Linked DNA regions of Tamandua tetradactyla. The protein of the gene in region 1 purifies or fractionates together with the protein of each later gene. This does not show direct contact. Links are inferred from orthologs where the notes say so. Each region holds a gene or a part of one and is shown on either strand. Other genes may lie near its edges. The genes, in order: POLR3B, CRCP, POLR3G and UXT.

Region 1 (6,917 bases):
AACAGCAGAGGTAAATAATGTGGGGACAGACAAGAGTCAAGGTGAGTGTTCTAGTTTGCTAGCTGCTGGAATTCAATATACCAGAAATGGAATGGCTTTAAAAGGGGGAATTTAATAAGTTGCTAGTTTACAGTTCTAAGGCTGAGAGAATGTACCAATTAAACCAGTCTATAGAAATGTCCAATCTAAGGCATCCAGGAAGATACCTTGGTTCAAGAAGGGTGACGAAGTTCAGGGTTTCTCTGTCAAGTGAGAAGGCAGATGGGAACATGGTCAGGGTTTTTCTCTCTCATCTGGAAAGGCACATGGTGAACATGGCGTCATCTGCTAGCTTTCTCTCCTGGCTTCCTTTCATGAAACTCCCCCAGGAGGCATTTTCCTTCTTCATTTCCAAAGATCACCGACTGGTGGACTCTACTTCCCATGGCTATGCCATTCTCTGGTCTCTCAGAATCTCCTGGCTTTCTCCCTAAGATTTCCTCTTTTATAGTATTCCAGTAAACTAATCAAGACCCAGCCGGAATGGGTGAAGACACTTCTCCACCTAATCCAGTTCAATAACCACTCTTGATTGAGTCACATCTACAGGGAGATGATCTAATTAAAGTTTCAGGCATACATAGTGCTGAATAGGGATTAAAAGAAATGGCTGCCTTTACAAAATAGGATTAGGATTAAAACATGGCTTTTCTAGGATACATACATCCTTTCAAATCGGCACAGTAACTAATAAAGTATCAGCGGCAGAGAATTCACATAGAATCAAGAGGCTACTCTGGAGGTTGTTCTTACGCAAGCTTCAGTTAGACATTGCTACCTATCATAACCTGCCAAACCCCAACAAGGACCATTCCAGCCAATCCTAAAAAACACCTAGAGCAGTATATAAGATTCCACAAGGGTTCCAGGCATTAGAGTAACTTTCCAGAAACCTACAACTTCCAGATGAGTCTCTGGACCAGGTAAGTCATGAAACCTAGATGGCTCAGCCTCTCCTGAACATCAGATAGTTCCATCTCCCTACTCTGTATTAGTGACAGACCCTTCCGACATGAAAATGTTAGAATGGCTATAGCCCAAACACCCCTAAAGAACGGGATAGAAAGATTGAAGGTGATGGTGGAGTTACACAGAGAAGATAGGATTTAACAAAATGAATATGATGACTGAATCACTAAATTGATCTCTTTTAGTCTCCAGTATCTTAGAGCAGTTAAAAGTAAAAACCTAAAATTTGGACTTGTAACCCATGTCAAATTCTGAAATATTTTCTACAACTAATTGTGATGCTGTGCTTTGAAATTATTGCTGTTTTGTATATATATTATTTTTCACAGAAAATAAGAAAAGTCGATTATGGTGACAAAAATTTTTTTTAAGTCTTCTTGCCTCCTATATTCTGGAGCAGCTAGAAGTAAAAATTGGAGAGGATGGTATGGTAGCATATGAAACACTCTGGGATCTGTCCGGTAACTACTTGTTGACGAGTGCTTTGAAAACTATTGCTTTTTTATTTGTTTTATATATATGTTATACTATACAATAAAAAAATAAATAAAATAAACAAAATAATAAAGGAATAAAATCATCTCTGGTCTCACCAGTAGCAGATAACCAAATTAATATTTTTACATACTTGCATACCAAAGAGTCTGTCATGGTCAGGTTCATCTGTCAACTTGGCCAAGTGGTGGTTGGGCAAGTGCTGGCTTGTCTGTTGTGATGAGGCCATTTCACAGAATTAAATCATGATCATGTCAGCTGCATCCACAGCTGATTCCATTTGTAATCAGCCAAAGGGGCATGTCTTCTGCAATGAGTGATGCTTAATCTAATCACTGAAAGCATTATAAGGAAGATTCAGAAGAGACAGGCTCTTCCTGTTTCGGCTGGTGAGCCTCTCCTGTGAGGTTTGTCCAGACCCTCCATAGGAATTGTCGGCTTCACAGCCTACTCTGTGGATTTTGGACTCTGCGTTCCCACGGTCACGTGAGACACTTTCATAAATTTTACATTTGCGAGTGTTCCCTGTTGATTCTGTTTCTCTAGAGAACCCTAACTAATACAGAGTCTTAGTACAAATCAATAAATATGCGTTGAACATCCAAACTATCAAAAATTACCAAATTGAGTTTACCATGTGTATCTACAATTTTTAATTCATCTTTTTCTCACTTATCGTTATACTGAGAACTTTTCCATGTATTAAAATGTTACATTTTTTCTTTTAAATGTCAATGTTTCTGATTTTTAGCTCCAAAGAGAAACTATTTCAATCATAAAAATTACACATGCTTATTGTAAAACATTTAAACATTACTGGAAAGAATGAAGAACAGTAAATCACATCCTCCAGAGATAACCAGTTAAAAGTCCTTTCTCATAACTCTACCCATTATAAATACATGTAACATATAATTGGGATATTATTCATGTAGCACATTGTTCTTTTCCATCCCCACTTATCAGTAGATGATGCCATCTTTCTAAATTAAACACAGATATTTCCATAATTATTTGATAGATGCTTATCCATCAAATTACAAATATATAATTAGGGGTCCCATAATTACAATTATTCATCAGAGGACATTTAGGTTGTTTCTAATATTTTGTTTTTATAAATAATGCTTCAGTGAGCAATCTGTTCACCTTGTTTGTCCACATTTGTGTATCTTTTCAGTAATCTCCTTGGACTAAATATCTAAACAACTAAATTGCTGAGTCAGTGGAAATATATGTATTTTTACCCTCTAGAAATGACAAATATTGTACCAATGTGCTCTCTCACCAACAAAGTAAGAGAGTGCCTGTTTGTCCATACTCTGGGCCACATTTAATATTATAAATCTTATCCATACCAATTCGATGGGTAAAAAAGAATTTAGTTTCCATTTTAATTCTGAAGTTATACATATTTTTATATTTATGATGTTTTGCTTGTTGATATCTTTTGCCTAGATTTTTCTGTTGTTTTTTTTTCCTGTTGATTCGCATGCACTTGTCAATTACCACTACCAACACATTGCCTTCTGCCAACCAGTACTTTTTTTTTTAGGCATAAGTAGTAAAGTTTATTAAAAGAGAAGTTTATTAAAAAGAGAGTACACGTTAGAGAGGTTAATGTGGGCGTGCCCAAGGAAGGGACTCGCCAGCCAGTACTTTTAAAAAACTCTATTTATGGTAATTTTGTAAATTCTATATGGAAAAATTTCATTTTTCATGGAATCATAAAACAACGTTTAGAATTATTTAATATTATCAAATCTACCAGTATTTTTACTTTGTGCCTTTTGATTGTGTTGCCATCCTTTAAAGACTTTTCATCACCTCTAGGTTATGAATATATTCACTTAACATTTTCTTCTGAGGTTTTTTAACATTTAAGTATTTAACCCGTACAAGATTTATCGAGAAGCACATTTTTTAAAATACTAATCAGCTGTTCACCGTCATTTATTGAATAAGTCATCTTTTCCCCTACGGAATTAAAATACCATCTTTTCATACAAAATTTCGCCCTGTACATGTATTTATTTCTGGGTCTTCTGTCTGGTACATAACGCTGCCTTAATGACTGTCGTGTTACGCTCTACTCTCCAGTGTGGTGAACTCCTCCTCACTCCCATGACACGCGCGTACTCTAATTCATTTAACCAATCCCCCGGTTGATGTCGGGAAATGTCCGATTTTCCCATACTATACAATGTGACTACTCCTGGAATAAATTAAATGCATTATTTGCTTCGGTGGCTCAAGTTGCGCAAATCATCTGTTTACACTTTCCCTGAAGTTATTTTAAAAAACACAACCAATATGTTTTGTTGACCTCTAATACGGAAAGAACCCACGACGGCCGGGGGTTAGGACTACCCGGCCTAGACTTCCCAGCAACACCAGAGGGGGCAGTTCTCCGGCTCCGCCGCAATCACATCCGGTTCCACCGCAGGTTCGGGCAACATGCAGGCGGAACCTTTCTGTCGCACCTCCGACTAGCAGTCCAAGCGGGGACGGTTTAGGCCTCCGCGCACCGTTCTCCAAGCGTGCTGCAGTTTATTTGGTGCAGCGAAGGCGGGCTGGAAGGTTCTGGCTGAATTTCTTTCGCCGTTAGCAGCATGGACGTCCTAGGGGAAGAGTTCGGTAACCTAACCCCAGAGCAGCTGGTGGCTCCGATCCCGACCGTAGAGGTGAGCGCCCGGCACGCGGTTGCAGAAGGGCCCGGGACACGCTCAAGGAGGCGTTGCCCGGAGAGTTCTCGCTATGGACGGGAGGCGGGCGGGTGGCATCGCGCATGCTCAAAGCATTGCGCGTGCTTATACTTTTCCTTGGTTGGCCGCCGCTAGCGTGTGGAAGGGGTGAGCCCAGAGAGCTGTCAGTGGTTACGGAAGCCGAGAGGCCCTCCGATGGCGCTCGGGTTGGACCCCTTCCAAGCTCCTGTTCGTTTGTGTCCGAGAAGATTAGCTCTCGTATCCACCCTGTGGGGTCCTATTGCTTCTTCGTTTTCAGACATATCGAGAAAAACAGTAGGACCCAGGGAGCTTAGTCCACTTTCATGAGGTCCTCTAGCTGTGGTGCGAAAGCCAAATCGTCTGAATCTTTTACTTTCTATCTTGACTTGTCCCACTCCAATCTGTCTTCTGCTCTGTAGCCAGAGTCATCAGTTTAAACACACAAATATGGTCACGTCTCTCCCTTGGTTTAACTTCTTCAATTTCTACCCATTGATCTTAGAGCAAAATTTAAAGTCTTTATGAAGGATTACAAGGCTTTCCTCAGTCTGTCCGCTGCTTACTTTTCCAGCCGCTTTTTCCACCATTGCACTTTGTAGATTAAATCCTAGATATCTATCATATGACTCCCTCCAGAGGCCTTCCTTGATTCTTCCAGATGTTAGATCCCCTTAGTACTTGCTACGATAGTGTCTTCTCCATTCTGGAGACTAACATTTAGTTTTTCTTTCCACTAGAATATGTTTGTCTTATTTGTTGTGTGTCCTCCGTTCTTGACCTGTAAAATGTTTTTATTGAATGAATGAATGAATTAGATTGAATGAATGTGATGAGTAACTTTATTGCCTTTTCCAAAGCAATGGTATCTAGAATGGTTTTAAGGGACTCAGAGAATGCCATTTTACTCATTTTTTATTGCTGGGTGTTGTCTGCATTTTTTGCTTTATGAAGTAAAGCTATAATTTTAGTGTTGAACTAACAAGAATCGGGACGGTACTTTATAAGAGAATTTCTTTAATAACAAATGAAAATAACTTTTCCTTTCAGTTGGGAAATTGATATGTTTATTTACTTCAGTGCTTTCTCTGTAAGTTTTCCTACATAGGTGCTATTTTGCCTGTTAACCATACCTAATATATTTTTCTGTACTCTGTATGCTATCATAGCAACATGGTAGGAGAAATAACACAGCTTTGGAGTCATGTAATCACTTGTTTATTGAACAGATTTTATTGAGGGATTACTGTGGGCCAGGCAGCATACCATTCCCAGGGATTGTACAAATTCAAAATCTCCCTCCCTGTCTTCCAGGAGTTTATGGGTTAAAGGGGGAGACATGTACACATGTGGAATAACATATAGTGGATTCTGTGATAGAAGGGAAAGTCTTTGTTACAACTGCAACTGATGGGTAAAATGTGATGCTCGAACTGAGTCTTAACAGATGGGGATGAAGTGTTGTGGTGGGAGAGGCATTCTGAATAAAAGGGACGCCATGAGCAAAAGCCTGAAAGTATTAAAAAGCCCATCATGTAGTTTCATGTGGTTTGGGAGAAAGATGTGAGGCTGGAGAAGTATCCAGGGGTGAGACCACAGAGGACGTTATGCTGTAGAGTTTAGACTTCATGAGGATGGTGTGGAGGCAATGGAGAATGGTAAGGTGATGAATGACAGGATCAGCTGTGAACATGGAAAAGATCACTCTAGCTTGAGTGTTGGTCATGGAATGGAGGGAAAATGGCAACTTTAAAGTAGACTTAAAAGAAAATATCACAGAAGTCCAGGTAAAAGACTATGAGGGCCTCAGCTGCAGTAGCAGAGGATGAATGTGAGGAAATTTAAAAGGAGGTGGACACAGTGGAACTTGTTCTCCAACTGATCAAGAAGCATCTGAGAGGTAGGACTCCCTGGGGTTTTAATTGGTAATGACTGTATAAATGATGTTGTTCGCTGAGATTGGGAATAGGGCAGGCTGAAAGGAAGGGGTAAGTTGGGGGATCTAATTTTGGGTGTATTGAGTTTGAGTAGTTCCTGAGCCCTTAAGGTGTTGCTGCCTGGTAAACAGTTGGAGGAGACATATTCATACCTTGTGGGTCACTGTAGCTGTGATATTTACTCACTTATTCATTTATTCATTCATTATCTATTGCAGATCTTTTATGCTCCTGGCACTGTGGTAAATAAGGTAGTCAGGGTCACTGTCCTTGAAAGTGCTTACATTTGTAACTGGGGAGGGAGGTGGGAGATCTTGAAATGGGGATGTTAAACAAGTGGTCTTTCAAATCCTTCACACCCAGCACACTTGGGAGTGAGAAAAGAAGTGTCCAGGGATAGAACTTTGAGGATACCAACATTTGCAGAGTAGGCAGAGGAAAGGAAGACCAAGAAGGCATTCTCAGAGGTAGGAAAGGCATTAGAAGAGAATGTTGTCACAGGAGCGTTACAAGAAGGGAGTGGTCAACATGGCCGACTGCTGTGGAAAGGCTGAGGGGAGCTCTTTGGAATTGGAATTGGAATATTGGAAACATTGGTGACATTTGCTAGAGCAGTTTCGTTAGTAGATGGGTCAGAATCTTGACTGTAATTGGTAGAAGAAGGAAAGAAAAATGAGGAACAGAGAAGGTCCTCTCTGACTACTTGTTGGGAAGTTAGTAAGCTGAAGAGCAGGAGAAGAAAAGAGAAAGTTTT
Region 2 (6,878 bases), on another chromosome or scaffold:
TAAACTCCCCTTTTTAAAAGCCATTCTGTTTCTGGATATTGCATTCTGGCAGCTAGCAAACTAGAACATCCATGAATTGCTAGCTACAAAATTCTTGATTAGTTTCAGTAAGTCACTGACTCCTAGAGAGAAGTGAACAGGTTGTTACAAGACCATTTCACTTAGGAAAGTCAGAAAACCTAGCAACTAGGTAGATGATGGTCTTAATAACTGAGATATAAGCAGGTTGGGCTGGAGAGGAAACCATCAATATTTCTGTTTTGAAAATGTTAAGTCCGAGTTGCCTTTTCAACGTGTAAATGCAGATGCCAAATAAGTAGTGGAGAATTGGGGTTCAGAACTCAGGAGAAAGGGGCTAGAATTATAATTCGTAGATTCATCAGCAGAGGTAGGTACAATAGCCAAGAGACAGTATGTGGAGAGAAGGGTTCCCAGGATTGAGCTCTGAGATACCTCAACACTCAGAAGCCAACAAGAAGGGATGGGGGGAAAGGAGACTGAAAAGTAGTACCTGATGTAGAAGGAAATCCAAGAGAGCATGTCATAAAGCCAGTAAATATTTCTAGAAGAAACAGACACCCGTATCAACTGCTGCTGAGAGATCAAGAAAGTAAACAACAGAAAACCAATTTTTGGATTTGACAAACTGGAGGGCTTGGGTAATCATCACAAGAGCCATTTAAATGGAGTTAATGAGGTAAAAACAACAACAACAACAAAACAGAATGGTTTAGACAGTACAAAGGGATTGCCTAAACAACTATCATGAAGTTCTGTTACAACGCGAAATAGAAATGGAGCGTAAATGAATAAGAGACAAGGGATTCTATGCATCTATCTATCTCTTTATTTTTGGCATGGGCAGGCTCCCGGAATTGAACCTGGGTCTCGGGCTTGGCAGTCGAGAACTCTGCCACAAGGGACTTTATTTTTAAGATGGATAAATAGAAGTTTTTTATGCTGACAGGAAATTCTCCAGTCAATAGGGAGAAACTGATAATAATGGCTTGGATCACAGTCATACGTGTTTTTCAAGCTGCAGTTGTATCCCATTAATGGGTTACAAAACCAATTAGGTAAAAAAAAAATTAGGTTTCTTTTTCCTTCTTCCCATTATTTTTTTTATGAGAGCATGTGCCAGTTTGAAACTGTCATGTACCCCAGAAAAGCAATGCCCATTAATCCTTTTAATATTGCTGGGTGGGATCTTTTTATTGTTTCTATGCAGATGTGACCCACTCAATTGTGGGTGGTCACTTTTGATTAGATGGCTTCCATGGAGATGTATCTCCACCCATTCAAGGTGGGGTTGCTTACTGGAGTCCTTCAAGAGGTACCCATGTTGGAAAAAGCTTTAGAACAAACCGAGCCCACATAGCCAGAGACCTCTGGAGACATAAAGAAAACACCACCAGGGAAGCCACTGAAGAAGTCTGGGAAGAAAGCTAGTAGACCTTGCCACGTGCCTTTCCATCTGAGAAACTAGGAACTCAACAGCCTTCTTGTACCAAGGTATCTCTCCCTGGATGCCTTAGTTTGGACATTTTTATAACCTTGCCTTAATTTGAACATTTTTCATGGCCGTAGCACTGTACACTTGCAACTTGATAAATTCTCCTTTTTGACAGCCATTCCATTTCTGGTATATCACATTCTGACAGCTTTTACAAATTAAAACAGAGCAGTTACAGGTTTACAGAAAAATTATGGAGAAAGTAGAGTCCCACATACCTCCCTCCCATAGTTTTTCCTATTAACATTTTGCATTAGTGTGGTAACTGCTGCAACTGATGAACAAACATTATTATAAGTACACTATTAACTATAGCTATTGCTTGCAACAGGGGTCACTTTTTGCGTTGTACAGTTTCATGGTTGTTTTTTAATTTTTATTCTGGTAACATATATACAACCAAGTCAGCATTCTTTTCATGAAATAGAAGAGTCAGTGTCAGAGTGTACAGCATAGCATACAATAAAGGTAAACGTTGTTTCATGAAGCTTTTATTTCAGTTATATATACATCTTGTGTTAAAAGTCAAGATAAGATCAAATAAACTGGAAAAACTGCGGTATATATAACCATTAAACAAGTTACAGAACAAAGGAAACTGGGTGCTGTAAGGAACACAATATATGTGTACCTGCAAGTTAATGTCAACTAAGTAAAAATACACATGAAAAGTAAAAAAAAAAAAAAAAACACCTCCATTTGCACATGGTACTAGGAGTAAAAATGAGAAAAGACAATGTGGAGCTAAATCGTTAGAACAGCTCTTACTCTTTTCTCCCCTCCCCCCCCCCCCACCAGTGTTGTTTCTTCAGCCCCTTAACTGGTTCACGCACTCCCTTCTCCGCAGAATATACGCGCCTTCCTTCACAGGGCTAACTGCTCCTCATCACACTCACTGAGCACCTCTTCAGAGTTACGGTTCCCCCGAGTGGGAGCCTACTACCCCTAGGATCTATTTCAACACCTAACCGTCTCCCCTCCTGGTGGACTCACGGATTTATTCCTGAATCGCCGCTAACTTACCGGGCCGGGCTCCCCACTGGGACTTAGGAAACACGTGTAAATGACCGCAGGAGAGAGGAGACACGAATGAAAGACAGCCAGGCCCAATGGCATTCTGCTCATGTCCCAGGCATGGAGATGAGGAGGTGGGAAGGTGGGGAAGAAAGGTTCAGAGGAGCAAGTCTAAAGTCCCTTTCTTCCCCTCCTACCCAAACCCGACTGCCCCTTCTACGACTGGGCCGTCGCCCTCACCGCAAGCCGGGGAGGAGGGTCGCCCCATCTCCACGCCTCCCGGCTCCCCGCAGTGTAACCGTCCCCCACCCTTGGGCCCCCGCCCAAAGGCGGGAACGCATCCCGGGCGGCTTACACCTCCATGTTGCCTCCGCCTCGTCGTCTCTGGATACCGCAGGACAAGAAACCTCACACAGTTTCACCACTGCTGTTTCCGCCTTCCTCTCTGAGCCCGCAGGATCGCCGGCACAGCAAGCCGCGGTGCACGCCGGGATGGGCGCGCTGCACGCCGGGAGCCTGGAGGACTTTGCTGGGCCCTCCGCGCCGCCCGGTGCTCCTTTTCCCGAGGGGACTGTATTTTCTTCGTCCAGGCAGACTTCAGACTGTCCAGCGTTTGCAGAAATAACTTATCACGTTTTCTTGGCCTAGGTCCTATCAGAGTATTAATAAACTAAGATTCCAAAGAGTTGATAGAGTTGGTGGGCCTTTGCGGATTTAGAATCCCACCCCTCAGAGAGCAGTGATGATGGGGACGGGCCGAGGGGACTTGTGGCTGCTGGAGTTACTTTCTTTCTTGATGTGGGTGCTGGTTATATGGGATGTTATAATTGAATAAAATGTTTTTAAAGATGGAGAAAAAAAAAGCCCTTCTCCCTGTTCCCTTTCTTCCTTGAGAGCTATTTCACAAAAAATTTATGAAGAGCTTTAACTAAAGGAACAGCCTCTGACTTTGGGCCTTTCTGGGAATTTGGGAAAAGGGAATTATCGGATTCCCTAAATAAAGAAGCAAGTGTAGTGATTTTTTGCTGAGAAATAACATAAATGCTCACGATGTAGAATCGAGAAATAATATGTTTCTGCCGTATAGTATGGTGTATTCAGCCAAGAAAAATCGTGTTGCAGAATGATGCTGGAAAAATGCTCAAGATAGGATTTCTAAAAGATGCAAATGATATGATATGATCCTGATTATCTAAAGAAAATAATGTATGAGTTAAAAAATACCCGGGATATGGAAGGCAGAGCTACCTGATCTGCAAGATTTTATGTCTTTGAAAGAACAGGGTTGGGAGAGTGGGTGTCAATTTCATTATTTCCTGTTATTTTTTAGTATGCTTGAAATATTTCTTAAAGCAGGAGGGAAATATGACAAAATATTAACAGTGGCAGATGCCTTTGCCTTTGAGGCAATTGCTGGGGGTGGTTTCTGCTTTTTAAGTCTTTCATGTTCTATTAGTTTTCATTTACCAAGTTCATTCTCTTTGCCAAGCCCTAAGTAAGCACTTTTTACACCATGAGATTGACAGTGAATGGTGCTGACCTGGCAGTCGGCCAGCCTTGTTCCTATTTACCATCATGGCTTTCCTAGAAGCTGTTTGACTTTGTGGAAATGACTTAACCTCCCTCCACCATAATTCCCTAGTCTGTAAATTAGAGATCTGTTATGTCATCTTTATAAAGTGCCTGGCACATAGTAAGTGCTCATCAAATATTAACTATTACAACAGTACTCTGAGTTACAGTCCATTATTATTCACATTTTACAATTGAGGAAACTGAGGCAAAGCTTTGGAGAAGTTATGACTTAACCCAATGTCATTCACCTGGGAACTTGCCCCACAGAGATCCAAACCCAGATAATACAAACAAATGCAGGAGGCATATTAAATTGTTAATAGTGGCTGATGAATAGATAAATAAAATGTGGAATATTCATACAATGGAATATCATTTGGCAATGAAAGGGAATGAAGTACTGATACATATTACAGCATAGATGACCCTCAGAAATATGTTAAGTGAAAGAAGTCAGACACAAAAGACCATGCATCATATGATTCCTTATATGAAATGTCCAGAATAGGCAAATCTATAGACAGGAAATAGATTATCAGTTGCTGGGAGCTAGGAAGCCGGGAGCAGGGTGGGGTGGAGGTTCTGCAGGCAGGAAGTGAGGTGCAGAATGGGAACTGACAGCTAATGGGTACGGGTTTTTTTTTTTTTTTTTTTAGGGGAGATGAAAATGTTCTAAAATTAGATTATAGCGATAGCTGCACAACCCTGTAAATATACTAAAAAAACATTGGATTGCACACTTTGCATGGGTGAATTGTATGGTATGTGAATTTTACCCCAGTAAAGCTGGTTGAAAAATATTAATAGAGACAGCAGGATGTTCGGCTTCTGAGCGGGGACCTTTGTATCATGTGCTAAGAGAGTGAATTCAAAATGGGTGAATTTGAGAAGGGCAAGAAGATTTTTGTTCAGAAGTGTGCCCAGTGCCACACCGTGGAAGAGGGAGGGAAACACAAGACTGGGCCAAATCTGCATGGTCTCTAGGCGGAAGACAGGTCAGGCGCCTGGATTCTCTTACACAGATGCCAACAAGAAGAAAGGCATCACTTGGGAAGAGGAGACACTGTTGGAGTATTTGGAGAATCCCAAGAAGTATATCCCTGGAAGAAAAATGATCTTTGCTGGCAGTAAGAAGATGGCAGAAAGGGCAGGCTTGATAGCTTATCTCAAAGCTACTAATGAGTAATAATTGGCCACTGCATTATTTATTATAAGATAGGTGGGACTTTTTTACATGTATCATATCTGAATTGATCTCACACACCAGAATTCAGATCATGAATAGCTGATAGTATATTTTTATTGGACAGCCCTGAGTTAAATAAGATTAGCTTATAGTTAAATGAATGTGATCAAGCTTTTTAAATTGATATAATTCTGGTTTCAGCAAGTGCTATCACTATTTCCCCTTTCTAAAGATATAACTGGACTGAGGCTAAGTGAATTAGTAATGCTCAGCTTTTCACAGAGATGGTGAATACCAGTTCAATCTACTGGAGATTGGTTTTAAATTTAAATTTATATGATTGGTGTTATGAATATACTTGAATACTAGGAAATCTCTTCATTGTCACAGAATAGAGCAAGACTCATCTGGGTTTCAATTGGTGTCCTCAGCCTGTTTAAAGGCAGGTGCTAAAAATAAGGTAGCTATGTCCACTTTATCTTTTTGATCTTAACTGTGTCAATCTAATTAAAAGTCCCTGAATTTCAATATTTGAAATGTTGCCTTTTAATTAACAAAAGGCATTTTGGTGTCGTTTATGTATAAAACCCAATAAAGAATGCTGAATGTGTGAATGTGTGAAACCTTCTCACATTTTATAGATAATCTATAAAGTTGAATGTTTTCAAAAGTCAGTGTGACAAGTTAAATTTTGCTTTTTCATTCTTTATTATCTTAAATCAGACCAAGTTACAATTCAGGTCGTCTTTAAACTGCTATTCAAAACCACATAAAATTGTAGAGACACTGAATTACGTGTGTTTGGTCACGATGCTTTTGCCAACTCGTAAGGATTTAGATAGAGAAGATAGACCATCAGTACGAGTTAGTAAATTTTGTTATCATAAGTCTTAAGATGATTAAAAAAACACAAAGACAAAAAGAAAATATTATGAATAGTGGAAGGAAAGTGTGGAGGCTTTTTAACATTTAACTTTATACATTCTGTTGTTTAAAATTTTTCAATGAATGTGTTATGTTTATAATTAAAATTTTTTAAATAACTAATGTTACTGTTACTTACAACGCAGGGCTAGACGGTGCCCAGAATGAAAGAGGAAAGAGACTGGGATCAGGGGACCTAACTTCTCAGAGAAGTTCAGGCAAGTTTATTTAGGGCTGTACTTCTTTTTATACCCTAGATATGCATGTGAAAAGCTTTGTTCTATTTTCTAATGTTACTTTATGTTGCTTACCACTTTTGGCAATGTCAGCTAGTTCTTGCTAGACTAAGCAATCTTGCTTTGTGTCTTTTAGCAACACCTGCTGTATTAAAAACATCCTTTTCTTTCAAGTTCAGCCAGACTGTTTATCTTTGAACCTTGGGGCAGACTCCCTGGTCTTTACTTCTGCCTTTTAACCCTTTCCAAGCTGTTTTTCCATCAAACTCATTTACTTTAAAAATCACCAGGGGAATGGAATGCCACCCCAGGCCCAACTGGCCTGACTTGTGTCCTCTGTATCTCCCCTGTGAGAAAAGCAGTCCCAACCGGCAGCGCCAAAGAGGCTCCTTGTGTTATTCCTTCAGCAAACACATAAGTGGCCCATGCG
Region 3 (6,980 bases), on another chromosome or scaffold:
CATTGTTCATAACGCCAAGCAATGCACCAAATCCAGGGTGAATAAGAGGTATGCCTTTCTTTTGTAAAATGGAAAAAGACAAATGGGAAAGATAAGTTAGGAATGGAAAACTAGCAAGATGTAGACCTCCAGCCTCTAAGGTAGGTGAATTCTGAACGTTAGAAAGGAGTACATACAAAAGTTGAGCATCTGGGAAGCAACTTCCATAATCATTTGAGCCTGGGAGCCGTTAGGAAACATGTACACCTCCAGTTCATGCCCCACAGCGGTGACACTACTCTAGAAACTCTTCCCAGTGAGTCTATCCACTTTACCTCCCAATGAGGGAGTCCATCCACTTTAGGTTCACTTAACCTCTTTGGAGAATTCTCCAATCTTTTTTGTTGTTGTTGTTTTGCAGGGGCAGGCACTGGGAATCAAACTCAGGTCTCCAGCATGGCAAGAATTCTCCAATCTTTAAATCCAGCCTTGTTCTCTCTCCTCTTTTAAGAACTCTATCTTGACCATCTGCATATTTCTACCTATGTATCTTACAAATATCTCAACTCAGTGTGTCCTGAACTGAAATTTCCAGCAAACCTGTTCACTATCTGCAGCCCCTTTCTTGATGAATGACACCTTAGTAGCCCCAATCAGAAACCTGATAGTCATCCTCACCTCCTTTCTCTCCATTCCCTCATCTAATTATAGAAGACTATCAGGTCTGTGTGCTCTCCCACACACTCCCTTTCTTTCACCTCTCCTTTAGTTTACTCCCTCATGGTCTCTCACCTGAACCTCTAAAACAGAACAAACTTCCCATGGACAGTCTTTCAATGCACTCTCCATTTGCCTTTCTACAAAACATATCTTGACCTGTCACTCTCAACCTTATAAACACCCAAGAGAGTTTTTTTGAGTCTAACTTTCTGCCTCTAGTCCTCTGCATCCCAGACTCTAACCACAGCAAACGCTGCTACCCTAGTTTTGCACAGTGTACCCTCCGCCTGGAGTGTCCTCCCACATCCACTTGAGGAAGCCCGAGCAATCCTTTTAAGACTCCTTGAAAATGTCACTTTCTCTGTGACTATTTTCAACACCCTACACAGAGGTAGTCCTCTCCCTTCTCAGCGTTTACCAAGTAGTACATGCTTCTATGGCTGGTTTTAGAATTGTAATGTAATTGTTCATTTCTTGCCTGTCCCCCCATTATGTCTCTTCATTCATTTATTCATCAAGTAGTTACTAAGCACCTTCTATGAATCAGGACATCTTCTATGCATTGGGAACATAGCAATGAACAAAACGAAGTCTGTGCTCTCATGGAATTCATAATCTAGTATAGGAAATGGAGAATAAATTTAAATTAAACTCAAGGCCTACAGTGGAAAGAGTGGAAACTAGATTTGGGAACACCCCGTCTATAGAAAGGATGGTTGAAGAAGTCTTTTCTTCATTCAGTAATATCTGAGCACCCTGAAGAATGTAAGGGAGAGAGGCTTTCCCTGAGGAAGGTAGGGGAGGGAACCATGCAAGGAATTTGGAAAGGATATCTAGGGAGAAAATGGGATATAAGGAGAGGGATCTGTAAATGCATAGGGTCTCTATAAAAACCTATTCTTCTTTTTATGTCCTATCCCTAACCAGAGCCTGGCAAAAAAATACAATAAATGTTGGGTGAATTTTTGCTGAGATTTTGGTCTCACAAGGATATCATTTCATTTCAACTCCAACGGTTTCTTTCTGCCTAGATGAAAAATACCCGAACTGCTGGGAGCGCTGTATTTCCCTGCTGAGAATGTCCTAATAAAAACATCTTTTAGCTGTACTCTATTGCACCTAATTTCGACTCCTTCTGTGGTCTATACCCCATATTTGCTTTGTATTGCAAAAATTTGTGTACAGATATTGTTTTCCTTCGCATTCTTGAGAACTCAGATCATGTCTTTCTCACACAATTATTTTCCTCATACAGCATCTAGCTCAGGGTCATGCACATAAAAGTGCCCCCCTAGGTGGTGACTGGATAACCTCCAAGGATTAGTAAAATCTTCAGAAAGGTCGCATCCCCACCAAATGCCTTAAAAATGTAGAAGAGCATATACCTCTGTTTCTATTAAGGCTTATTAGTAACTGCCAGAGTAAGGGTTTCCATAATTATCTTTTATAATGTTGTCTCATGGGTCCCTTAATAATTTTTCCTGACTGAGTGGGGAGGTAAATCAAGCTCTCAAGGGAATTTTCTAAGCCTAAATGGATGTTTCAAAAGCTGCAGATAAGGAGAGGGGAGGTTGCAGGCACCGGGTGTTAATAACAGAGGTGATTTACGTGGCTGGCGGGACCACACCCAGTTATTATTCACTTTTCCAGGCGTCAGAAGGGCTGGCTGCCTCCACCTTTCCTTGGTTGGGCATGCCTACCAACTTTCCTTGCTCTCTTCCAACAGCGAACCAACTAACCAAAAATGAGGGGCGAGGGGAGGTGAAGAAAAATAAAGAATTTTACTTTTCAAAAAGAAGAAAAATCTTAACAAACTCCCTCCCCACGAAGGGTAAAATGCCCACAGTTAAAAACAGATCCTGAATAATCTGTCCTTAGGGGGCAAGTCTGCGGCAATGACTAGTACCTGAAAAATCGCATAGTCACAGGATTTGGTAAATCTCCTACCATCAGTAAGAGTAAATAAGTTCCCCCCTAAATCACTTGGTCCCAGGAAGTGGAGACCAAGTAAGATCCAGAAACCACAACTAAAAGATTTTGAATGGAGCAGAAGAGGATAAAGCTATCTCTCAACATTTCTCCTCCCAGAGGACCTTAAATCTCCACGCCTGGCTTCCCCCACCCACTCCATGTGCCTCTTTAAACTCCCCCCTAACCACCTCGTCCCCTCCCAGGGTCCCGGTTGCTTCCTCAGTTACCTGCTCACTAAGTCTCCCGGCTCGGGCAAAACTGCAGCCGAGGTGCCGGCCGGCAAGGAAGGGGTGCGGATGGAGGGAGCCGGCGCCGCCGGCCGGGGGATCTACCTCTGGAGCAGCGCGCCCCGCCCTCCACGCGGCCGCAGGCCCGCGTTCTGAGCCCGGCCATCTAGCCCCGCCCAGCCCGCAGCCAGGCCCCACCTCCTGGGTTAAAGGTTTTTTAGCCCTTGGCAGGCGCCGTAGTTTTCTTCCAACCGGCTTGGCCTGACTCTTTCGGCGCCGGTTGGGAGTGAGCACAGTGCTGCGCGGGTGGGCGGACAGACCCGGGACTTCCCACGCCTCTGCAGTCAGCCCCCAGTGCCCCTCTCCTCGCGAGGTGGTGAAAGTATCGCCTTTTGGATCTCCATTCTGTTGAAGCGGCCCCTGCATTGACGCCTCCCCTCCCCCGCCTTGTGCTGGACAGCTAGTGCTCCTGCGTCCGGGTGCGGGCAGCGAATCCTCTGCTCTCTGCGGACCTGGTGGGAGGGTGCGGGAGGTGCGAGGCGTCCTTCCTGCTCCCCCCTCCCCACGCGTATCTCCGCAGCCCCCGCCCCCCTCCTCGCTCTGCGCTTCTCCGGCCTGTGGGCACCGCGCTCCACACCGCCGCAGCGCCGCTCCTCCGGACAGCCTGCGGGAAGCTCCCACGCCCACACCCGCCCACCCCCGGCCGCACCCCTGCCCACGATGTCAGCGCTCGAGTGGTACGCCCACAAGTCCCTGGGCGACGGCATCTTCTGGATTCAGGAACGCTTCTATGAGTCGGGCAACCGCGCCAACATCTGGCTTGTGCGCGGCTCGGAGCAGGACGTGGTGATCGACACGGGCCTGGGGTTGCGCAGCCTCCCGGAGTACCTGTACTCCTCCGGTCTCCTGCAGGACCGCGGAGCCAAGGAAGACGCGGCGCGCCGGCCGCTGCTGGCGGTGGCCACGCACGTGCATTTCGACCACGCCGGCGGCCTCTACCAGTTTGACCGAGTGGCGGTGCACCACGCCGAGGCCGAGGCTCTCGCTCGTGGGGACAACTTTGAGACGGTGACCTGGCTGTCCGACAGCGAGGTGGTGCGGGCACCCAGCCCCGGCTGGAGGGCCAGGCAGTTCCGAGTGCAGGCTGTGCAGCCCACCCTGGTCCTGCAGGATGGTAAGGGGCCCCCATGCGCGCGCGCTCTCTAAGGGAAGGGATGGGGGAAGAGACGGCCCTAGGGATGCATGTTGCAGACCTGCGTGGCTGTAAGGGGCTTGTTTTGGCACGTCGCATAAACACCACTTCAGTTGCAGCACTCCTTGAGTAAAAGCCCACCCGATCAGAGGCAAGGCCATTGCAGCTTTCCTTGCCGAGCCCGGCTTCGGCCACTGTGTAGCGGTTGCGCTGCTCGAGTGAAAGCCGTCCCCACCCCCTAGTCACTTTCCTCGATCCGTTAACAGTAGTAGCGCTACAGGGACTTGTGGCTGGGATTTCCCAGTGCTTTTCCGGGCACCTGTCTGACATTTCTAGGTGCTTTTGTAACGAGAAGACTTCTAAGGAGTGACACCTCAGGAAGAGAGCATGCCATGCGCTATGCTTTTGAGAACTGCTGACTTCATCTGCTTGGTCACCACTGCATGTGGGCGATTACCACCTGTAGGTTTAGAAGACCATTAAGAGAGTAGCGGTTCCAATGTGATCGAGCACCATTATCTTCAAAATAGATTTCTGTTCTTGATGTTGCCTCACGAGAAAAAAAGCGTGATTGCGAACATAAAAGTAAAACATGTCTGAGTCTCAAACCTGAGAATAATTAATTAGGATGTTGCTTCCGGTAGAGGAGAGAGATGTCGTCTAATGCCTAGGTAATCCTGATCTTTTCTGGCTCTGTGAAAGAATGGGGTTCAGAAAGAAATTCATGGAATAAAACAAAATAGAGGAAGGTGTCAGCCCCTGCCTCAAACCCTCTACGCTGGTGCTTAAATAATTGAGCTAAATAGCCATAGTAGCAATGTTTGGTTTATTAAATTTTCCTTCTTTGTAGGATGCTTCCATTTTCTTCTTTTTACCCTCACAACACAATTGAAATGAGGCCATTGACACCCAGTTAGATGACTTGGCTGAAGTCTACCGAGCAAAATAGTTAACAAAATGGATTGGAGCCAAGGTGCAGTATATCCAAGCAAACTGAACATACATGAATCTCCTCCCGTAAATATATTACGATAATTCTGTAAAATGAAATCCCCTTTTTCCTTTCCCTTTCCAAACCATTTTAGTTGCTACCAATATATCCCTCTATAAGGTAGAAAGACCCACTTGTTGAAGTACAATAGGTACCAGACAGAGCTCACTTTTTGACCCAGCCATACTGCCAAATAAAGAATAAGCACTTTTATCTTACAAGATTTCATTAATTTGCAATATTAAAAAATAGAAAACACAATTCTATAAATTGCCCACACCACCCAAAACATCTTTTCATAACAGTTCAAGATGAAAAAAAGTACATTCACATTAAATGTCCTTTTAATTTATGTATTTCTTGATAAAATTCAAACTTTTAGAGGTGAGATTTACATGCAGTTACTAGGTATTCAGAATTAGTTGATTCCAGTGAATTATATCCCACCTAGACCAAAATATGTTTATAATAATATTAAATGTATTTAAATTTTTTAAAGAATAAATTACTTCTGAAGGCACCAAGGGAGATTTATAGATCAAAAGAATAATTGGGATCAACAAGTGAAACTCCCTTGTTTTATAGATGAAAACAGGAGTCCCAAGCAGATCAAACATAACCAGTTTGATCAAGAGCTGAGATTAAACCCAGGTTTCCTGAATTCCAATTGATGGTAGAATGTAGCATTTTGAAACTGCAAAGGACCTGCAAGTTACTTGTGTGGAGCTTTAAGACTTTTGAAGGTGTAATCAGAAAGCTTAATATTTACCAAGCACTTTGAAGGTGAAAATACTGTGTTATCAAAAGTTGTTCTTCATTAGGAGCTGGTTGTCTCACACTCTCAAGTAGTATCTAATTTCCTCCCTTCTCAGGTATGTTAATTTCCTGTCTCTTCTGAATGATGTGGCTTTCTAACTTGCTATTTTTTTTTTCAGAGAATGTGTACATTTTTATTCTCATGACATGTCTCCAAAGAGAGGCAGAGCTTTGAATAAAAAATAGAGTCTGGTTCATTCTAGCCAACAATGTCATAAAATGGTACACACACATTTTCCGGGGGGGCAGGGTGGCAAACAAATTACTTCAAAAATTCTAACTTGCTATTAAGGATCCAGATGACTGGAAAAAGATATAAAATATTTATAGTAAAAATTTATAAACAGTTACACACACACGCACACATACAAACACAAATAGCACAAACCCAAACAGGATAAAGTCTTCACTGCTTTCATTAGAATGCAAGGAGATTGGAGTCATTTGTTTATTACATTTCATTTAGTGTATGGAGGATCACCTGTCATGGAGAAGCATAAATCTGTGCACAGTATTCCAAACTCAAAAGCTGACTTGTAAATGAGGTACAAAGAGGCCAAGACACCAGCTATATCATCCAGTGTATATCTTTGATGCAAAAGCAATTCACCCTAATAGTGAAATAATATCTACTTATAAGAAGATAGTAATATACTTTAGATTGATATAGCAGTTTCCTCTTGAAATGGGCAGATATCATTTTGCCTGTTTTTCACAATATTTAAATAATATGAAGTGCTATCAAGTGATGTGAAGAACGTTTATACATGTTTAAAGCAATTTGCCCAGAGTACCAAGATATTATCTGAACTGACACTACAATGATTGTAAATATTGTGTCAGAGGAGTGGTTCCAGTAGACTTAAATTGCTTAGAGAGGTTAAAAACAAACATACAGATTCCAAGAAGGTAGCAGATTAAATAGACCCATGTAATTTGGCTCCCTCCCAAAACCCCATTAAGACTATTAGAAAGGGATAGTGGGTTATTTGTTTTAAGTATAAATCCATATTGACCAGGGAACTATTGCAGATCTGGAAAGCAGATATAGGGACTGAGTTAGTTTTATCCTGTGCCTGCACTA
Region 4 (7,068 bases), on another chromosome or scaffold:
GCTCTGAAGCTATGAAAGTAAGCAGTACCCCGTACAGGAACAGTTTAAAAAGTTGAAAAAGTGATCAGACATTGAGTAGAGATATGAATGAAGCTGATCTGGACAGGACTAAGGTATATAAGAAGACTGGGAAAAGGACAGTATCATTCATATCTTAAAACTTCGACTTCTGTGTGAGACTAAAGGGATAGATGTTTATTTGGGACAAAATTTATATTTTGGGTAGTGCATTTCCTAATTTAATTTGTGTGGTCAGTTTAGTTGAACACCTTAAGTACAGGGAATCTTGAATAGGGCATGAGATTTTGTTAGATTGTCCAGGTTAGTGTGATGTCCCAATAAATCCCAAAATGATTCAGACAGTGAATAAAGAAGTAATTGCCAGTTCTCCTTAGGGGAATGGGGAGAAAGGGGAAAAGATTCAACTTCCACATTTGGAGAATTTCTGATACTCTCACAAAGCAGTGGGGACAACCAAATCAATAGGCTGAGTCCCCAGTCTTGGGGTTCGCCCCTATGAAATTTATTCCTGCGAAGGATAAGCTAAGCCTACTTAAAATTAGGCATAAGAGTCACACACACACACACCCAGAGAACCTCTTTTGTTGCTCAGATGTGGTTTCTTTCTCTAAGGTGACATGGCAAGGGAACCCACAGCCCTTCCCTCCTATGTGAGACATGACTTCCAGGGGTGTAAATCTCCCTGGCAATGTGGGACAGAAATTCCAGGATGAGATGGGACTCAGCATCAAGGGATTGAGAAAACCTTATTGACCAAAAGGAGGAAGAGAGAAATGAGAAAAAATAAAGTGTCAGTGGCTGAGAGATTTCAAACAGAGTCAAGATATTATCCTGGAGGTTGTTCACACAAATTATATAGATATTCCTTTTTAGTTTATGGTGTATTTGAGTGGCTAGAGGAAAGTACCTGAAACTGTAGAGCTGTGCTCCAGTAGCCTTGTTTCTTAAAGATGATTATATAATGATATGGCTTTTACAAAGTGACTGTGTGATTGTGAAAACCTTGTGTCTGATGCTCCTTTTATCTATGGTGTGGACAGATGAGTAAAAAATGTGGATAAAAAATAAACAGATAATAAGAGGTACAAAGATTAAAATAAATTGGGTAGATGGAGATACTAGTGGTAAATACTAGTGGTCAATGAGAGGGAGCAGTTAGAGGTATGGTATGTATGAGTTGTTTTTTTTAAGGAGGAGGTTCATTCATTTTTTTCATTTATTCATTCATCGTACAAGTATTTTGGGTGCCCATTTGAACAAGTATAAGGCCTTTTACTAGGTTCTCATTTGGCCCCAGAGACAGGAAGAAATGCATGCCTTCCCAGAGAACTTATAAACCTTCCCTTTTGGCGTTTTCTGGTTACGGTATGGTTTAATCCCTAATTAGCACTGCATGGTTTAATTCCAAATCCATAACTCTTATATTTCCTCTGGCCACTATGATAAGCAGGTAGCTGGGTTTTCTATGGAGCTTGCTCTTGAAGTTGCAGAAATCCTCCCTGTTGTAGATATTTCATTTTTTATAGCTCATCCCTCATGAAAAATGGCTGTTGCCACTGTTGGAACAGAAGGAGGGATAATGACCAACCAATTCCCAAACCCAGTTTCACTGGGCCCAGCTTTGGGAAACAAACACCCCATAATCAAGCTGCTGCAACTGATTTTGAAATGTATTTACCAGTTGTATCCATTTTAAATTATTTTCTCTTTCCCTGCTTACAAATATATATTGCCTAAATAGATCTAGTTCAAAACAATCCTCATAGAGCACCATGATAAAACTGGAGATGGAGACATGATTTGTCTTTTGTAACAGCTACGCAACTTAAACTATAGAAGTGTCCTCCTCTTTATCAACAAAAGCTGCTCAAGAAAGGACTTGGTTTTTTGTTTGTTTTAATTTTAATTTTTTTAAAAATATATAACAACAAACACAAAATTCTTAAAATATGATCATTCTGGTCTACATATATAATCAGTAATTCACACTATCATCACATACGTGCATATTCAACATCATAATTTCTTAGAACATTTGCATCAATTCAGAAAAAGGAATAAAAAGACAACAGAAAAAAATTCATACATACCATACCCCTTACCCCTCCCTTTCATTGATCACTAGCATTTCAATCTATTAAATTTATTTTAACATTTGTTCCCCCATTATTTATTTATTTTTAATCCTTATGTTTTACTCATCTGTCATTAAGGTAGATAAAAGAAGCATCGGAAGCAAGGTTTTCACAATCACACAGTCACATTGCGAAAGCTATATCACTATACAATCATCTTCAAGAAACATGGCTACTAGAACACAGCTCTACATTTTCAGGCAGTTCCCTCCAGCCTCTCCATTACATCTTGAATAACAAGGTGATATCTACTTAATGTGTAAGAATAACATCCAGGATAACCTCTCGACTCCGTTTGGACTCTCAGCCATTGACACTTTATTTTGTTTCATTTCTCTCTTTCCCCTTTTGGTCGAGAAGGTTTTCTCAATCCCTTGATGCTGAGTCCCAGCCTATTCTAGGATATCTGTCCCACCTTGCTAGGAAGGTCCACACCCCTGGGAGTCATATCCCACGTAAAGAGGGGGAGGGCAGTGAGTTTGCTTGCTGTGTTGGCTGGAGAGAGAGGCCATATCTGAACAACAAAAGAGGTTCTCTTGGGGATGACTCTTAGGCCTAATTTTAAGTAGGCTTAACCTATCCTTTGTGGGGTTAAGTTTCATATAAACAAACCCCAAGATTGGGGACTCAGCCTATTGCTTTAGTTGTCCCCACTGCTTGTGAGAGTATCAAGAATTCTCCACTTGGGGAAGTTGAATTTTCCCCTTTTCTCACCATTCCCCGAAGGGGACTTTGCAAATAACTTTTTTATTCACTTTTCAAATCATCCTGGGATTTATGGGGGCATCACTCTAGACAAACCTTCAAAATCTTATGTCCTGCTCAAGGTTCCAAGTACTTATTGTGTTCAATTAAGCTGTCCACATAAGTTATATTAGGGACTGCACTAGTCAAAATATAAATTTTGTACCAAATAAACATTTTTTGGAAAGGACTTGTTTTAGTGGCATAATGTCGATGGATGAAAACGCTTTTTAAAATGTTATCCTGCTAGCTTACTCTTTTTTTCTTTTTATTTCTTTTTCTGGAGTGATGCAAATGTTCAAAAAAGATCATGGTGATGAATACACAGCCATATGATGATATTGTGAGCCACTGATTGTATACCATGTATGGACTGTATGTATGTTGAAGATTTCTCAATAAAAAATATTTTTTAAAAAAGAACGTAACAATAAAAAAAAAGCTTACAAATTTAAATAAAACACACAGGAACTATTTCTACTACGAGATAGCCAAACGTGAGTGGAAAACGTCATCGACCCTCCATATGACCTCCCTACTACAAGAGGCAATTAGAGGCAATTAGACATAACAGGTTAATGTCCACTTGAACCCCATTTATGGATTGTGGGCCGCAAAGCTGCAGTCATCAATGATGAATTTGAGACAATCTGACTCCGTTAAAAAAAAAAAAAGTTTAAATGCTCACACTCATTACCATTACCGTGATTCAAACTCAAATCTCCCAGGTGAGTAAAAATCAAATCCAGGTCGATAGGTTACATGGGATGTACTCCCTTCCCTGCAGACCAGAACCATAATTAACTTTTGCAGGTCTCTTTCCACAGCCCTTCCTTTTAAATATCAAATGCTTTACTCCCTTTCTCTATCTCTACCTGTGAGTCCCACCTCCCCCAGAACCCGCCAAATCCCATTAAACCCCACCCCTACGAGTTCTGCATGCTCCCCATAAGCTCCGCACGTAACTTTCATTGTCCCTACTAGCTGGTTCATTGCCAAAACAGCCCCTACTCGCACGCTCCGCAGTCTTCACTTCGCTTCGGATACATAAAGCTCCGCCCTTCTCTTCTCCGCTTTGGCCAGTCTTCTTCCGTTCAGGACCGCCCCCTCCATACCTGGCCATATGATTGGCCATCCGGCTTGCCATTACATCATTCATCCGCGCCACCCGGAAGCCGCGGTTCATACCAACTCGCCGTTCTTTTTCCTGGCGGTTCTAAGGTACGGGCCGCATTTGGATGTCCCTGAATGGCAGTGTCCCAGAGTTGGGAGGGACGGAAGGCGGAACCCCCAGGTTGGGTCGGACGAGCCCATTCCCAACGTCAGGAGGGTGGAGATGTGCTGGTCATGAGGCCGAATTGGAGTGATCAACATGTCTTCCCCCTCCTAACTGTCCAGGAGCCCATCATGGCGACGCCCCCGCCCCCTAAACGGCGGGCCTTGGAAGCCACGGCAGAGAAAGTGCTGCGCTATGAGGCATTTATCAGCGACGTGCTACAGCGGGACCTGCAGTGAGTGACTGGATACGGGGCAGGACGTTTGGAAAGCTCCACGTGGTGGGCGGGGTGTTCAGAGTCAGGGCCGAACCTTCTGATTGGTGAGCGGGCGTTTGGAGCTCGTCCCCTCGCCCCTTGCTATCCGGAAGGAAGGACTACATTTGGGGTGAGGTTTGGCTGGGACTTGGCGTTCAGAGTGGCAGGCACGTCCGCGCCTACGTAGCCTATGATATCGCGTAATGGTTCAGAGCTAGGTTTCTGGACCCAAGTTCGAATCCCGGTTCAGCCACTTGCCATCCGTGTGAATACCTTGTTCCTCGCCTCTGTGTGCCTCAGTCTCCCCAGAGGTGAAATGGAGAAGTAGATAAACCTCATGCAGTGGCCTTGGGTTTTCAATGAATCCTATCATTGTAAAGAATTTAGCATGAATGCTGGAAACATACTAGAGCCTCAACGAGTATGAAGAATTGTTATTAATGTATCATAATCCAAGCAGGAAGTAGAGTGCTCAGAACTAGGGCTATGAGAATTTTCTAGGGTAAAGATGGGACATTCTCATCGAGGAAGATATTTGGGTTGGAGTATAATAATAATAGTAATAATTAATAGCTATCATGTATGTAGAGCTTACTGTTTGGCAGTCACTATTCTAAGCACTTTATATGAAACACTCATTTAATCTTCCTAATGAATTTGAGGTAACACTGTCATCCCTGTTTTATAGATGGGAAAACTGAGTCCCAGAGAGGTTACTTGTCAAGGTCACACAAGCTAGTAAAGGGGAGAGCCTGGATTCAAGCCCAGGTAGTCTGACTCCAGAGGCCAAAATCTTAACTTCTGCACCAAAATGCCTCTTCATGGCGTGGTAACATGAGGGTCTCAGAGGGTCATGATATCAGGTATCCCCAGAGGGACAGGATCACGTATTGGTCACCAATTAGACTCTCACCCCATCAGAAAGGTGCTGGACCATCGTGACAAGGTATATGAGCAGCTGGCCAAATACCTTCAACTGAGAAACGTCATTGAAAAACTCCAGGTAAAAACACTAGGGTTGGGTACCTTTGGGAGATGGGAGAAGAAACTCCAGAGCAAGACCTGTCACCTGACATAAAATCTGACACCTGACCCCTACCTCTTTCTCCCTCACCCCATAGGAAACTAACCATTCGGAGTTATATATGCAGGTGGATTTGGGCTGTAACTTCTTCGTTGACGCAGTGGTGTGAGTGCCTACCCATCTACCTACCTTTGAATCTACAAGGTTCAGCATCCCCCCTCCTTCATTCAACAAAATATTTTTGAGCATCTGCTATATACCAGACACCATGCTAGGTTCTGGGGATGTGACAGTGAATAAAGTAGGACAAAAGTCTTGCCCTCCCAGAGCTTCAATTTGGGCCAGGCTGGGGGTAGGGAGGAATCAGAAAACATCTTAAACTGGCTGGTATGCTAAATGATGTAAAGAACTTTACACCTCCTCTAACCACTCTTTCATTAGCCCAGACACTTCACGGATCTTTGTGGCCATTGGATATGGCTTTTTCCTGGAGCTGACATTGGCAGAAGCTCTCAAGTTCATTGATCGTAAGAGCAGCCTTCTCACAGAGTAAGTTCCATTCATGAGGACAGTGTCTAAAAACACCACCATTATCAATACCCTTCTTCCTCTTCCCATGGCTACCATGGATGATACTTTAGGACCCAACTCCCTTCCTTCTCGGGGCTGGGGCTGAAGAAAGTGAGAATGCAAAGCTTAGCACCAAACACAGCACCTAATAAGCATTCAGTTATGGTCTTTGTATTGTTCATTTGCACAAATATTTATTGGGCATCTTTTGGATGTGATAATGGCATTGCACTCTTGAAGGACAGTGGCCTTATTTACACACAGGAGTGTTTAATGGTAAAGTGTCATGATGCCTGGAACTTTCATATGGTCCAGCAAAAAAAGCATGAGTTTGTAGAGAAAAAGAGAAAGTAGATGTAACAGATGATTAATGAGTTATGAATCTGGGTGAAGGGTTTACAGGTGTTCATTATACTATTTCATTGGTTCTGTAGGATTGAAATTTTTCAAAGTAAAAGAAAAGCTTCAAAAAATTTTTACAGTTGATTTGTTCAAATCCACAAAAGACCATATAACAAGGTCCATATATCACACTTGGTTGATAGGTCTTTTAGGTCTCTATTACTTTATTTCATTTTCTAGGATTGAGAACTATTTTGATGGCTATAGAAAACCAGATAGGGTTATATACAACCTTTTTCTCTCCCAGAAGTTTAGATGTGAATTAAAGGAGAAAAAGATGTGTACCCAGTGGGAGAAATGGGAGGGAGGAGGAGGTGTTTGTTTTCAAGAATGGTCTAGTAATAGTGATAAAAATAATAATAGCAAACATTTACATAGCACTTACTATGCCAGGATAAGCACTGGACATTTTTCACTCATTTAACCCTCACAACAACCCTATGAAGTGGGTACTATTATCCCATTTTCAGATGCATGATTGAGGCCCAAAAAAGGTTAGAAGTGGAGATGGGATTTAAACCCAGGCTTTCTGGCTCCGAATTTGTGCCCTCCAGTGGATTGAATTGTTTAATGTCTGAGGGTTCCCTGTTCATGGAAAGAAATACTCAACACTGTTTTTATTTTGTTTGGTTACTTATTA

Evidence for each region.
Region 2: the proteins of POLR3B (region 1) and CRCP purify together in Homo sapiens (affinity purification with mass spectrometry; 5 studies listed by BioGRID and IntAct, with this or other methods). This does not show direct contact. The link is inferred for Tamandua tetradactyla from reciprocal best matches to the Homo sapiens genes POLR3B and CRCP.
Region 3: the proteins of POLR3B (region 1) and POLR3G fractionate together in Homo sapiens (co-fractionation; 4 studies listed by BioGRID and IntAct, with this or other methods). This does not show direct contact. The link is inferred for Tamandua tetradactyla from reciprocal best matches to the Homo sapiens genes POLR3B and POLR3G.
Region 4: the proteins of POLR3B (region 1) and UXT purify together in Homo sapiens (affinity purification with mass spectrometry; 3 studies listed by BioGRID and IntAct, counting the BioPlex papers as one, with this or other methods). This does not show direct contact. The link is inferred for Tamandua tetradactyla from reciprocal best matches to the Homo sapiens genes POLR3B and UXT.

The regions. Positions count from the first base shown.
Region 1 is NC_135333.1:22,886,559-22,893,475, forward strand, and holds the start of POLR3B (DNA-directed RNA polymerase III subunit RPC2), read left to right. Parts: upstream 1-3,893; 5' UTR 3,894-4,115; coding exon 4,116-4,187; intron 4,188-4,369; exon of another isoform or gene 4,370-4,571; intron 4,572-5,391; exon of another isoform or gene 5,392-6,126; intron 6,127-6,917. UniProt on the Homo sapiens protein: Catalytic core component of RNA polymerase III (Pol III), a DNA-dependent RNA polymerase which synthesizes small non-coding RNAs using the four ribonucleoside triphosphates as substrates.
Region 2 is NC_135349.1:18,078,415-18,085,292, forward strand, and holds the start of CRCP (DNA-directed RNA polymerase III subunit RPC9), read right to left. Parts: upstream 3,003-6,878; 5' UTR 2,891-3,002; coding exon 2,883-2,890; intron 2,631-2,882; exon of another isoform or gene 2,537-2,630; intron 1-2,536. UniProt on the Homo sapiens protein: DNA-dependent RNA polymerase catalyzes the transcription of DNA into RNA using the four ribonucleoside triphosphates as substrates.
Region 3 is NC_135347.1:40,811,025-40,818,004, forward strand, and holds the start of POLR3G (DNA-directed RNA polymerase III subunit RPC7), read right to left. Parts: upstream 3,026-6,980; 5' UTR 2,898-3,025; intron 1-2,897. Other genes in the region: acyl-coenzyme A thioesterase MBLAC2, read left to right, coding at 3,618-4,071. UniProt on the Homo sapiens protein: DNA-dependent RNA polymerase catalyzes the transcription of DNA into RNA using the four ribonucleoside triphosphates as substrates.
Region 4 is NC_135353.1:122,467,350-122,474,417, forward strand, and holds the start of UXT (protein UXT), read left to right. Parts: upstream 1-4,055; 5' UTR 4,056-4,121; exon of another isoform or gene 4,122-4,194; intron 4,195-4,298; 5' UTR 4,299-4,307; coding exon 4,308-4,411; intron 4,412-5,353; coding exon 5,354-5,435; intron 5,436-5,553; coding exon 5,554-5,621; intron 5,622-5,897; coding exon 5,898-6,005; intron 6,006-7,068. UniProt on the Homo sapiens protein: Involved in gene transcription regulation. Acts in concert with the corepressor URI1 to regulate androgen receptor AR-mediated transcription. Together with URI1, associates with chromatin to the NKX3-1 promoter region.